Macaca mulatta: one gene and its partner. The main gene of each other region encodes a partner of the protein of the gene in region 2 in a complex. Links are inferred from orthologs where the notes say so. Each region holds a gene or a part of one and is shown on either strand. Other genes may lie near its edges.

Evidence for each region.
Region 1: the proteins of FGFR2 (region 2) and FGF8 are in contact, whole or in part, in a crystal structure (PDB 2FDB), measured with the Homo sapiens proteins. The link is inferred for Macaca mulatta from reciprocal best matches to the Homo sapiens genes FGFR2 and FGF8. Residues at the interface, in NP_000132.3 of Homo sapiens: Glu160, Lys161, Glu163, Lys164, Leu166, His167, Ala168, Val169, Pro170, Asn173, Asp247, Val249, Arg251, Ser252, Ser282, Asp283, Ala284, Gln285, Pro286, His287, Ile288, Gln289, Ile291, His293, Leu309, Val311, Leu312, Lys313, Ala314, Ala315; in NP_149354.1 of Homo sapiens: His53, Val54, Gln57, Asp62, Leu64, Ser65, Arg66, Leu68, Ile69, Arg70, Tyr72, Tyr75, Arg77, Gly80, His82, Val106, Glu107, Thr108, Thr110, Phe111, Gly112, Ser113, Val115, Thr148, Glu149, Ile150, Val151, Leu152, Glu153, Asn154.

The regions. Positions count from the first base shown.
Region 1 is NC_133414.1:113,856,513-113,861,208, forward strand, and holds the start of FGF8 (fibroblast growth factor 8), read right to left. Parts: upstream 3,323-4,696; 5' UTR 3,109-3,322; coding exon 3,077-3,108; intron 2,985-3,076; coding exon 2,948-2,984; intron 2,425-2,947; coding exon 2,338-2,424; intron 2,121-2,337; coding exon 1,940-2,120; intron 1-1,939. UniProt on the Homo sapiens protein: Plays an important role in the regulation of embryonic development, cell proliferation, cell differentiation and cell migration. Required for normal brain, eye, ear and limb development during embryogenesis.
Region 2 is NC_133414.1:133,602,309-133,606,517, reverse strand, and holds part of FGFR2 (fibroblast growth factor receptor 2), read left to right. Parts: intron 1-997; coding exon 998-1,194; intron 1,195-4,209. UniProt on the Homo sapiens protein: Tyrosine-protein kinase that acts as a cell-surface receptor for fibroblast growth factors and plays an essential role in the regulation of cell proliferation, differentiation, migration and apoptosis, and in the regulation of embryonic development.

The DNA.
Region 1 (4,696 bases), about 20 Mb from region 2:
CCCAGTGGCCAAGCCCCCAGTTTGGCCCCAAGTCAGCAGGGAAATGCAGCTGTCACCTCCCTGCCCGCCCACCTCCTCCTGGACCTAGCCAGTCTGCTCATCCCTTTCCTGCTCTGCCTTCCACAGCAAGAGGCAGCTGTTTTTAAGGGCCAGGAAGGATGCTGACTAGATGAGTGAGAGGATGCCACTCTGCGGACTCTGGCCAGATGCAGCAGGCAGGGATGAAGTAGGTGCCTCTGCATCTTCCTGGGGCGGATAAAGAAGCCATTGAGACCTCTCTGCTATTCTCCCCAGACTCCTCCAGTCCTGGCTGAATACCCTGAGCCTCTGTTCTTAGGCCCCCAGCTCCTATCCTGCTGTGGGGCAGGGACTAGGGAAGGTGGGAAACCTCTTAGATGGCCAAGGAGAGAAGTGGGCATCAGACTTCCTCTGATGTCTGAAGATGAATTCCCCCACATCAGCTTGGCTTCTGCTTTCTCCCCAAAATCCAAGGATGCTGGGCCATTTGCTCTGATAGAGCAAACTCTGGAAGAGCCAGGCCTTCGTCTCCTCTCCTTAGAAGCTGAGAAGGGCAGCAAGCAGCCAATTTGGAGGGACAAAGGGACGGTAGGCCTGCTCTGCCAGCCCAGCAGGGGGGCTCGGCCACCAGGCAGGCTGCCCCCACCCCCACCCCAGAGAGCCCCCTCTCTCCCAGGTCGGTTGAATCTGCTCGGATCTGGAGAGCTGGGGCTGCAGTTTACGGCAGCTCCACCGACCGGGCTTTTGGAAAGCTTAACATTTTCAAACCTATTCTTCCACCCCAGTGACAGATTTATCCCAGGAAAATTATGTCTCCTCCTCCAGCTTTGAAGGGAAGTCAGCTACGTCGATGCAGAAAAAATGCAGCGAGACATACTCGATCCCCCAAACTGGCTCAAGAAGAGGAGAAAGTATTCAGGAAATGTTAAAAAAGGTGAAAGTAAGAAGAGTTTTAATCGCTCTGCCAGACGCGGGGGTCTCTCCAGAGATTCAGAGAGAACAATCTTGAACCTCTTTTTTAACATTTACAGACTTGCAACTCCTTTCAAACTCCACATCTGAAAAAAAGCTCGTTCTTTTTCTGTTTTATATCATTCTTCATTTTTCTTCTTAGCTCTTAAAATGCCTCACCTTTTTATTACATTTTAATAGAGTCTTCCCCTCTCCTTTCATGCTTGTTTAACGTGGTCATTATTTAAAGGTTTTTAAACTCACAATAATCGCTCTCTAAAAACAACACCAGCCGCCCAGAGGGTTTGCTTTTCTCTTGGTACAGGACTCTGGAAATTGGCCCCGTTTCAAGGCAGGAATATTGAATGTTTTAGAAATCAATCAGTCCTCAGCTTCTCTGCCGGCAGTAGCTCTCCGTACTGGCCACCCCACAGGGAGCCGGGAGCCCTGCCCCAGCCGCCTGGGTTCCCTGGGGAGTGAAGCAGGGAGAGCCCCTTCCAAGCCCAGTTTCCACCTGTAATTGACCCTTCTGATCAAAGTATTTAAAGGTTCCCAGCAAACCCCTTTTCCAACTGGGAGAGTTGAGGGGATTTCTCTCCCTTCTCTTTCCCACTCTCCTTTTGTGGGCCCTGGCGACATATCCTCTTTCAAGCGCTTCCCTTAAACCTAGGCCCCCTCCCCCTGAACCCCCTGCCTCCACCTGCAGCTGGGGAGGGGTGTATGAGGTGGGGGCGTGTAAAGGGAGATTCCTAGATTCTTTCATTTGCTGGGCAGGGAAGGGGGCACCTGTGGCCAAGTATTCCCCGAGGTCCCTTCCCTAGCCCTCTCTTCCCCAGCTGACCCTCAAGACACCTTTCTGCCTTAACTCCTTCCCTTCTGAGCTGGGGACCCTGCAGGCCCCCTGTCAGTGCAGTTGGGACTGGCGGTGCAGGCGCCGCTCATCCCACAAGCTACCTTCAGCGCGCCTTACCGAAGGGGTCGCCGTCCTCTGCCATGGCGTTGATGCGCTTGTTGGCCAGGACCTGCACGTGCTTCCCGCTGGTGCGGCTGTAGAGCTGGTAGGTCCGGATGAGGCGGCGGCTGAGCTGATCCGTCACCAGGCTCTGCTCCCTCACATGCTGTGTAAAATTAGGTGAGGACTGAACAGTTACCTTTAGGAAATTGAAAAATACACAATACGCCATTATAATGCTACTCCGCCCAGGGGCCCGAGTGGCCCCATCACCCTGCGTCCCCCTCACTGCCCGAAGCCACCAGCAGGTGCTGGGGTTTCCCCCAACATGCCAGCCCAGGCCACCATCCCCCACCCAGGCAAATCGGGCAGACCCAGCCCAGGATAAACAAGCCCCAGGGAAAAGCTGGACCCACCTGTTGGGAGACACCCTGGGGCTCCCGGCCAGCCCGGAACAGGGAAGCGAGCTCCCTGCCCAGCGCAGGGCCCCCGCCCGGGCCTTCCTAGAGGAGCAGGGCGCTTTTAAGTAGGGAGACAGCGCTCCCCGACCCCTGACATTTATAAAGACAAATTTACGGAGCAAATGTTGAGAGTGCAGGGGACCTGGGCACCCGATCGTTGGGCCAAACCGGCCACAAGCCTCCCCCGAGGGGCGTGGAGAGGATCTCTGCTGTAGTCACCCGGCTTCCCCTGGCATCGAACATCCATCTCCTGGCCCCGGCTGCCCCCTTCCTCGGCGGCTGAGTGTTCCCTGTGCCCCCAGCCGGCGAGGATACATGGGGGACAGTGCTGGGCTCCGAGACTTTCGCTTCTATCCTGGCAACTCACTCGCTGTGTGACCTCTGGCGGGGTGCTACCTCTCTGTGCCTCAGCTTCCTCCTCAGGCTGGCTCGGGGCTGGGTTTCTAAAGTGCCCTCAGCCCTCCGGCGCCGGCCGCAGAGTCAGTCCCAGTGCCCCCGACCGGCGCTGCCCACCCGGGTCTCCAGCCGGCCCGCCCGGCCCCCTTCTCCGCGCATCCCTCCTCACCTGGGCTTGGAGGCAGAGGACCAGCAAGTGCAACAGCCTGTGGGAGACAAAAGCGGGCGGGAGAGAGAGGCGCGGGTGAGGCGAGGGGCGCGGCGGGCGGGCGGCGGGGCAGGGCGGCGCGGTACTCACAGGCAGCTCAGCGCGGAGCGGGGGCTGCCCATGGCGCGCGGCCCCGGGGCACCAAAAGCCCGGCGGGTCACGCCGTCCCGTGGGCGGCCGCGGGGGGACGCACGGAGCAGGGCGCGGGCGGAGAGGGTGCGGGTGCGGGAGGCCGGCGGCGACCACGACGCGGCTCCGCGGGTCCCGTGGAATGTCGTGCTCGCCAAGCCGCACCGAGTCGCTGTGCGCCGCTGCCGGAGCCGGTGGCCGCTGGCTGCTCCGGTGCCGGAGCGGGCGGGAGGGTCACGGGCTGGCGGGGTGGGTGGGGAGGTGGGAGGGGTGGGGGCGGGGGGCGCCGCACCGGGCGCGAGGGGGGAGCGCGGGGCGGGCGGCGGGAGCCCGCAGCCCCCGGCTGGGAACTGGGGCCTGGATGCAGCCCGGGGCGGGGGCGGGGCGGCCGGGGCGGGGCGGCCGACGGGTCCGGGATTGGGGGTCTAGGCTAGGGGAGGGGTCTGGGGACCCGCGGTAGGGGCGGGGGCGGCCGGTCTGGGCGCCTCCCCCTATCCGCAGCCTGTGCCCTCGCGCGCTCTCCGGGCCCGGGCGCGCGGGGATGGGGGCGCCTGGGGCTGCGGGCTCTGCGGGCCAGGAGACCCCGGGCCAGGGATTCCCTGACCGCCCGGCGCGCCCCAGTCCGGTGGGGCTGGGTCTCCACCTCGGGGCCCAGCAGCTCCTGCCGCCGGCTACATAGCAGTCTCCGAGCCACCTACTGTGTGTCCCGCCAGGACTGCCCCCTGGGAGCGGCCGCTAACCGTGCGGCGAATGGCTGCGCACCCGGCCCTAGCGCAGTGCGTGCCGGTGCCACCCGGACCCCACTCCCCTGTTTCTGCCGCGTGCCCCGTCCTTTTGGTCTCTCCAGTCTCGTTCAGTCTCCCAAGGAGGCACTGGGAACCAGAAATGCCTCCCCCTCCCCCGCATTATCACCGTCACCCCTTCCCCTGTGCCCCTCGCCACACACACACACTAGCCTGAAGCTTGAGGAGCACCCCGAACCACCTGTGTGGAAGAGAGAGTCCGGAGGTCCCTGGCAGGACCCACTGTCCCCCTACCCCAGCAGGCAGCAGGGGCAAAAATAACTGTTCTCAGTAGCTTTTCCTGGGGGAAGGGACTTCCATCCAGGCCACCCAGCCCTTTCCCCCTCAAAGCCCCATTTGTTTTTCATTTCACAGATATTTACACACCTACTGCATTCTAGGCAGGGGCTGGTCAGCTGGGCCTGGGGCATGGGAGAAGGTAGGCACTTGTCTAAGCCTTTCCTAGCCCCTCACCTTGTGGCTTCCCCACTGAGATTTTGGGAAACCCTGAGCCCCCACGCTGCTTCTGTGGGAGCAGCCTGGGTGGGCAGAGATGACCTGGGACAGGTGCCCTGTGAGGAGCAGGTGATGCCCTACCAGGCTGCTGCCTTCGCCCACAACTTCCCTTCCCCACTGACCCTGCATTCCCCTGGGGGTAGGGCTGGAGGGTTTCGTGTGGTCCCAGGAAGCCATTAGGCCAAAATTAGCAGCAGCCCTAGTCCAGCCTCACAGCCAGGCCCTGCCTCCCTCCCTCCTCTGTGTCCCACCTTTCCCTGTGCCCCATCTTTCCAACTACCAG
Region 2 (4,209 bases):
TTTGCAGTACTGCATTCTGTGGTGCCTAACTGGCACTTCTTAACCCGTTTGCCTGACAGTGCTAGCACTTAACTAAGAATGCAGTTTGAGAGAAACACTGTTTGGAAATACACTGCTTGTAGATGGATCATCGAGGACTAGGAAGAAGGCAGACATTGGAAGTTGATATAGAAATGTGCTAAATTAAGTAATTATATGTATACTCACACATAATACCTTTATGTTTTTTCTTTAAGAGAAAAACTGTAGTGACATAACGGTATAACCAGATATGTATAAACTTAAAAGGTTATTAAGGAATATTATAAGCTTTATGTGTTATGGATCTAATGGTACTATATTATAAGCAATTCAGTCTGTGTATTTAATGCATTGGTTTGTTTATGGACTAGATGGTATTAAGGAATTCACCAAAACTTTTTCGGGCCAGCCTACTAGATGAACATCAGTTTCATATGGAATTGTGTTCATCTGGGTTAAATTATCCTGTGGAGTCTTCCTTTGGAAGAGCCTACCCATGTAAGACTGAAGCGTTGTCACTGTCTCCTTAGAAACAAAAGTGGGCGTCATTGATATTTCAGAACTTTGTATTTGGTTTGCATTCACAGACCATCATGAAAGATAATCCTCTCACTGCGGGTACAGTTGGTCATCCTCCACTCAAATGTCTAACAGAATGTGGCCTCATAGCCTGCCCTGTGCAACTGGGTGTCAGCCACTCACTGGACTGCGGATGCCCACTGAGGCTAGAGACAGTGACTACCCGGGTCCTGGTGGTCAAATGATGAACCCCCTGGTTATTCATTTTCATTTGGGAGGGGCACTTGGCAGACCTATGGCCCATGCCATTCTGCAGGATTGAGTTTTTGGGAAACCCACCTTGCCTTGAGAATGGTCATCACCTTTTGGTTCCTTTGGTTGTGCTATGATGCATCAGTCTCGTGTGCTAACTCTGTGGCCTGCTTATCTGTTCCTCCTCCTGTGATCTGCAATTTAGCTCCTGGAAGAGAAAAGGAGATTACAGCTTCCCCAGACTACCTGGAGATAGCCATTTACTGCATAGGGGTCTTCTTAATCGCCTGTATGGTGGTAACAGTCATCCTGTGCCGAATGAAGAACACGACCAAGAAGCCAGACTTTAGCAGCCAGCCGGCTGTGCACAAGCTGACCAAGCGCATCCCCCTGCGGAGACAGGTAACAGAAAGTAGATAAAGAGTTTAAAGAAATTTACTCCTCCCCCATGACCCAGCCAGCTTGTGGATCTTTTGCTCTGTTTTGATGCCATCGACTTCTGTGAGCTTCCATGTGCGAGTGATTCTGGTGTGATGCTTGGCGGTCACCCAGTTAGTGTTTGGAGCTTGGAGAGTCTAGTCATAGTGCGTTGCTTGGATCAATGGGGTCCAGTTCCAAGGGCAAGAAAGGACAATAGTGTCAGAATCAGAAAACTAGCCGGGCGCGGTGGCTCAAGCCTGTAATCCCAGCACTTTGGGAGGCCAAGACGGGCGGACCACGAGGTCAGGAGATCGAGACCATCCTGGCTAACACGGTGAAAACCCGTCTCTACTAAAAAATACAAAAAAAACTAGCCGGGCGAGGTGGCGGGCGCCTGTAGACCCAGCTACTCGAAGGCTGAGGCAGGAGAATGGCGTAAACCCGGGAGGCGGAGCTTGCAGTGAGCTGAGATCCGGCCACTGCACTCCAGCCTGGGCGACAGAGCGAGACTCCGTCTCAAAAAAAAAAAAAAAAAAAAAAATCAGAAAACTAATTAGCAGGACTGGAAATAACTGGAGGCAAATACCCCTGTGTGTGTTTGATCAGACTCAAGTACAGCGGTCTCTCCGAAGCCTTAGCCACATTGGTCTCCTGTGATCTAATACCTTTTTTAAGATAAGCATGAACATTCGCTTGGGACTTATGCCACTAGTAGGAAAGAGACTCTAAGTTCTCTGACTTATTTTTTAAAGTCAAGATCAGAATCTTATGCCCTGGGGGTGCGTCTGGACTGTTTGATTTAAACTGGTGCACAATAACTTTCTACACTGAATTTTGGCTTAACCTCTTTGCAACTTACAATATAATTGTATGCATCTATTATGTCTCATTGTTAGTAGTTCACAGGTGTGGCGGTGATTTATTGGTAGAATATTTGTAAGGAACCAGCAACAGATTGTTTTTAACCCCCAACTTGGTCTTTGGTGGTTGCTTTTTGCTTGTGTGCCTCCTGATTGGTTTAGTTTTGCTCTGGGGGAGATGGGGCAAGATGGAGCCTCTGCTATAAACCAAAGCCCTGCATAGGTAGGTGGGACAGGAAATGCTTCAGCTGTTTTCTGTTTGTTCACAGAGATGGAAGCGGAAGGCAGATGTAGATGTAGAATGTTTACAAAAGCATTTGAAACTTGGTTGTGATAAAGGTTATTTTGAAATAGCAAGTAAAACAGCAAACTCATTGGCTGTATTTCAGTGTGTATTTTAGTAAAATTTACGGGGTACTTGTTAAAATTTCAGATTCCTTTGTCTCAGCCCCAGAGATTCTTGTTTAGTCATCTTGGATAGGGCCAGGAATCTGCATTTTATTACAAGCCCTCTGGTGATTTTAGAATGCACTTTGAGAAACTCCAGGTTAATCCCAGGCATGGCTCTCCAGGGACTTTAGGTAGGAATGACATTTTCTGGACAAGGCATTAGGAAGGATTAGGAACCAGTTGGTCAGCAGTGGTTTTGGCATGGGTCTGGCTGTTCACAACCCAGCTCCAGACTCCCGGCTGAATGGGTCCTTGTTAACTTCTCTGAAGCCATGTTGCAAGCAGGTCTGTCTTTGTGGAGGCGGAGGATAGAATTTAAAGTGTGTGTCAAGTGTAGGCGAATGACCAAATTGTGTTAAGAGCATGGAAAAAAGGGGCCTATTGGGTCACTTCTGCCACCAAGAACGCTGTTGTCATTTTGAGTGACATGATTATCTTTCTTGGGGCCAGGAGAGCAAAGATGGGGCCAGCTGGCCAGCCAGTTTCTAGGGGAGTCCAGTCCTGAGATAACTCTTACATGGTTTCTATTATTTTTTTTCTAATAGGGAAAAATGCTAACTTCTGGAGGCAGCTTGTAATTTGGCATAGCTAGGCCACTGCCCCGTAATTATCTCATCATCTTTTTTTCTGCAACTGTTACAATGCTTTTCTTTTTACTTAATATAAAAGGGTAAGATGCCCTTAAAATCCCCCTGACTCAGCCACAGTCATTGTGTTTTCTTTCCCCAGTGTCAGGTGGCTTTTCATCACTGTCCATCTAAGAATACGGTTTGAGGAAAATAATATTTGGAAATGCACTACTTGTAGATGGATCCTTGAGGACTAAGAAGAGGGCAGACATTGGAAGTTGACATAAGAATGTTCTAAATTAAGTAATTATATGTATACTCACATGCAATGCCATTTATATTTTTTCTTTAAGAGAATTCAGCCTGGCCGGGCGTGATGGCTCATGCTTGTAATCCCAGCACTTTGGGAGGCTGAGGCGGGTGGATCACCCAAGGTCATGAGTTCGAGATCATCCAGCCTGACTAGCATGGTGAAACCTCGTCTCTATTAAAAATTCACAAATTAGCTGGGTGTGGTTGTGCATGCCTGTAGTCCCAGCTACTTGGGAGGCTGAGGCGGGAGAATCGCTTGAACCCAGGAGGTGGAGGTTGCAGTGAGCCAAGATTACGCCATTGCACTCCAGCCTGGGCAACAAGAGTGAAACTCTGTCTTAAAAAAAAAAAAAAAAGAGAGAGAGAGGATTCAGCCTAAGTTGGTCCTTTTTCGTATCCTCCCTGTGTTACCAGAGGGAACATCAGAGTACCTTCCTCTTTTTCTTCCCTCCTTCCTTTTATTGATTCATCATAATTTACTAAGTGCTGGGTATAAACCAGGTTACATGTAAGACACAGCCTGTCACATTCACCGGTGGTTCCCAGGTTATTTGGTGGTAAATGCCTGTAATCCTAGCTCCACAGGAGGCTGAGGTGGGAGGATCCTTTGAATCCAGGAGTTCAAGACCAGTCTGAGCAACACAGCGAGACCCCAACTCCAAAAACCAAAACAAACAAACAAACAAAAACCCAAAGTGGAAACAAAAGAAAAGAAAATGTAATAGTAGGGCCAAGGAGTATAACAGAAGCAGAGAAAATGGGGCAAATGCCGGTTCCCTGGAAAAATACATCTGCGTGAGATTAAT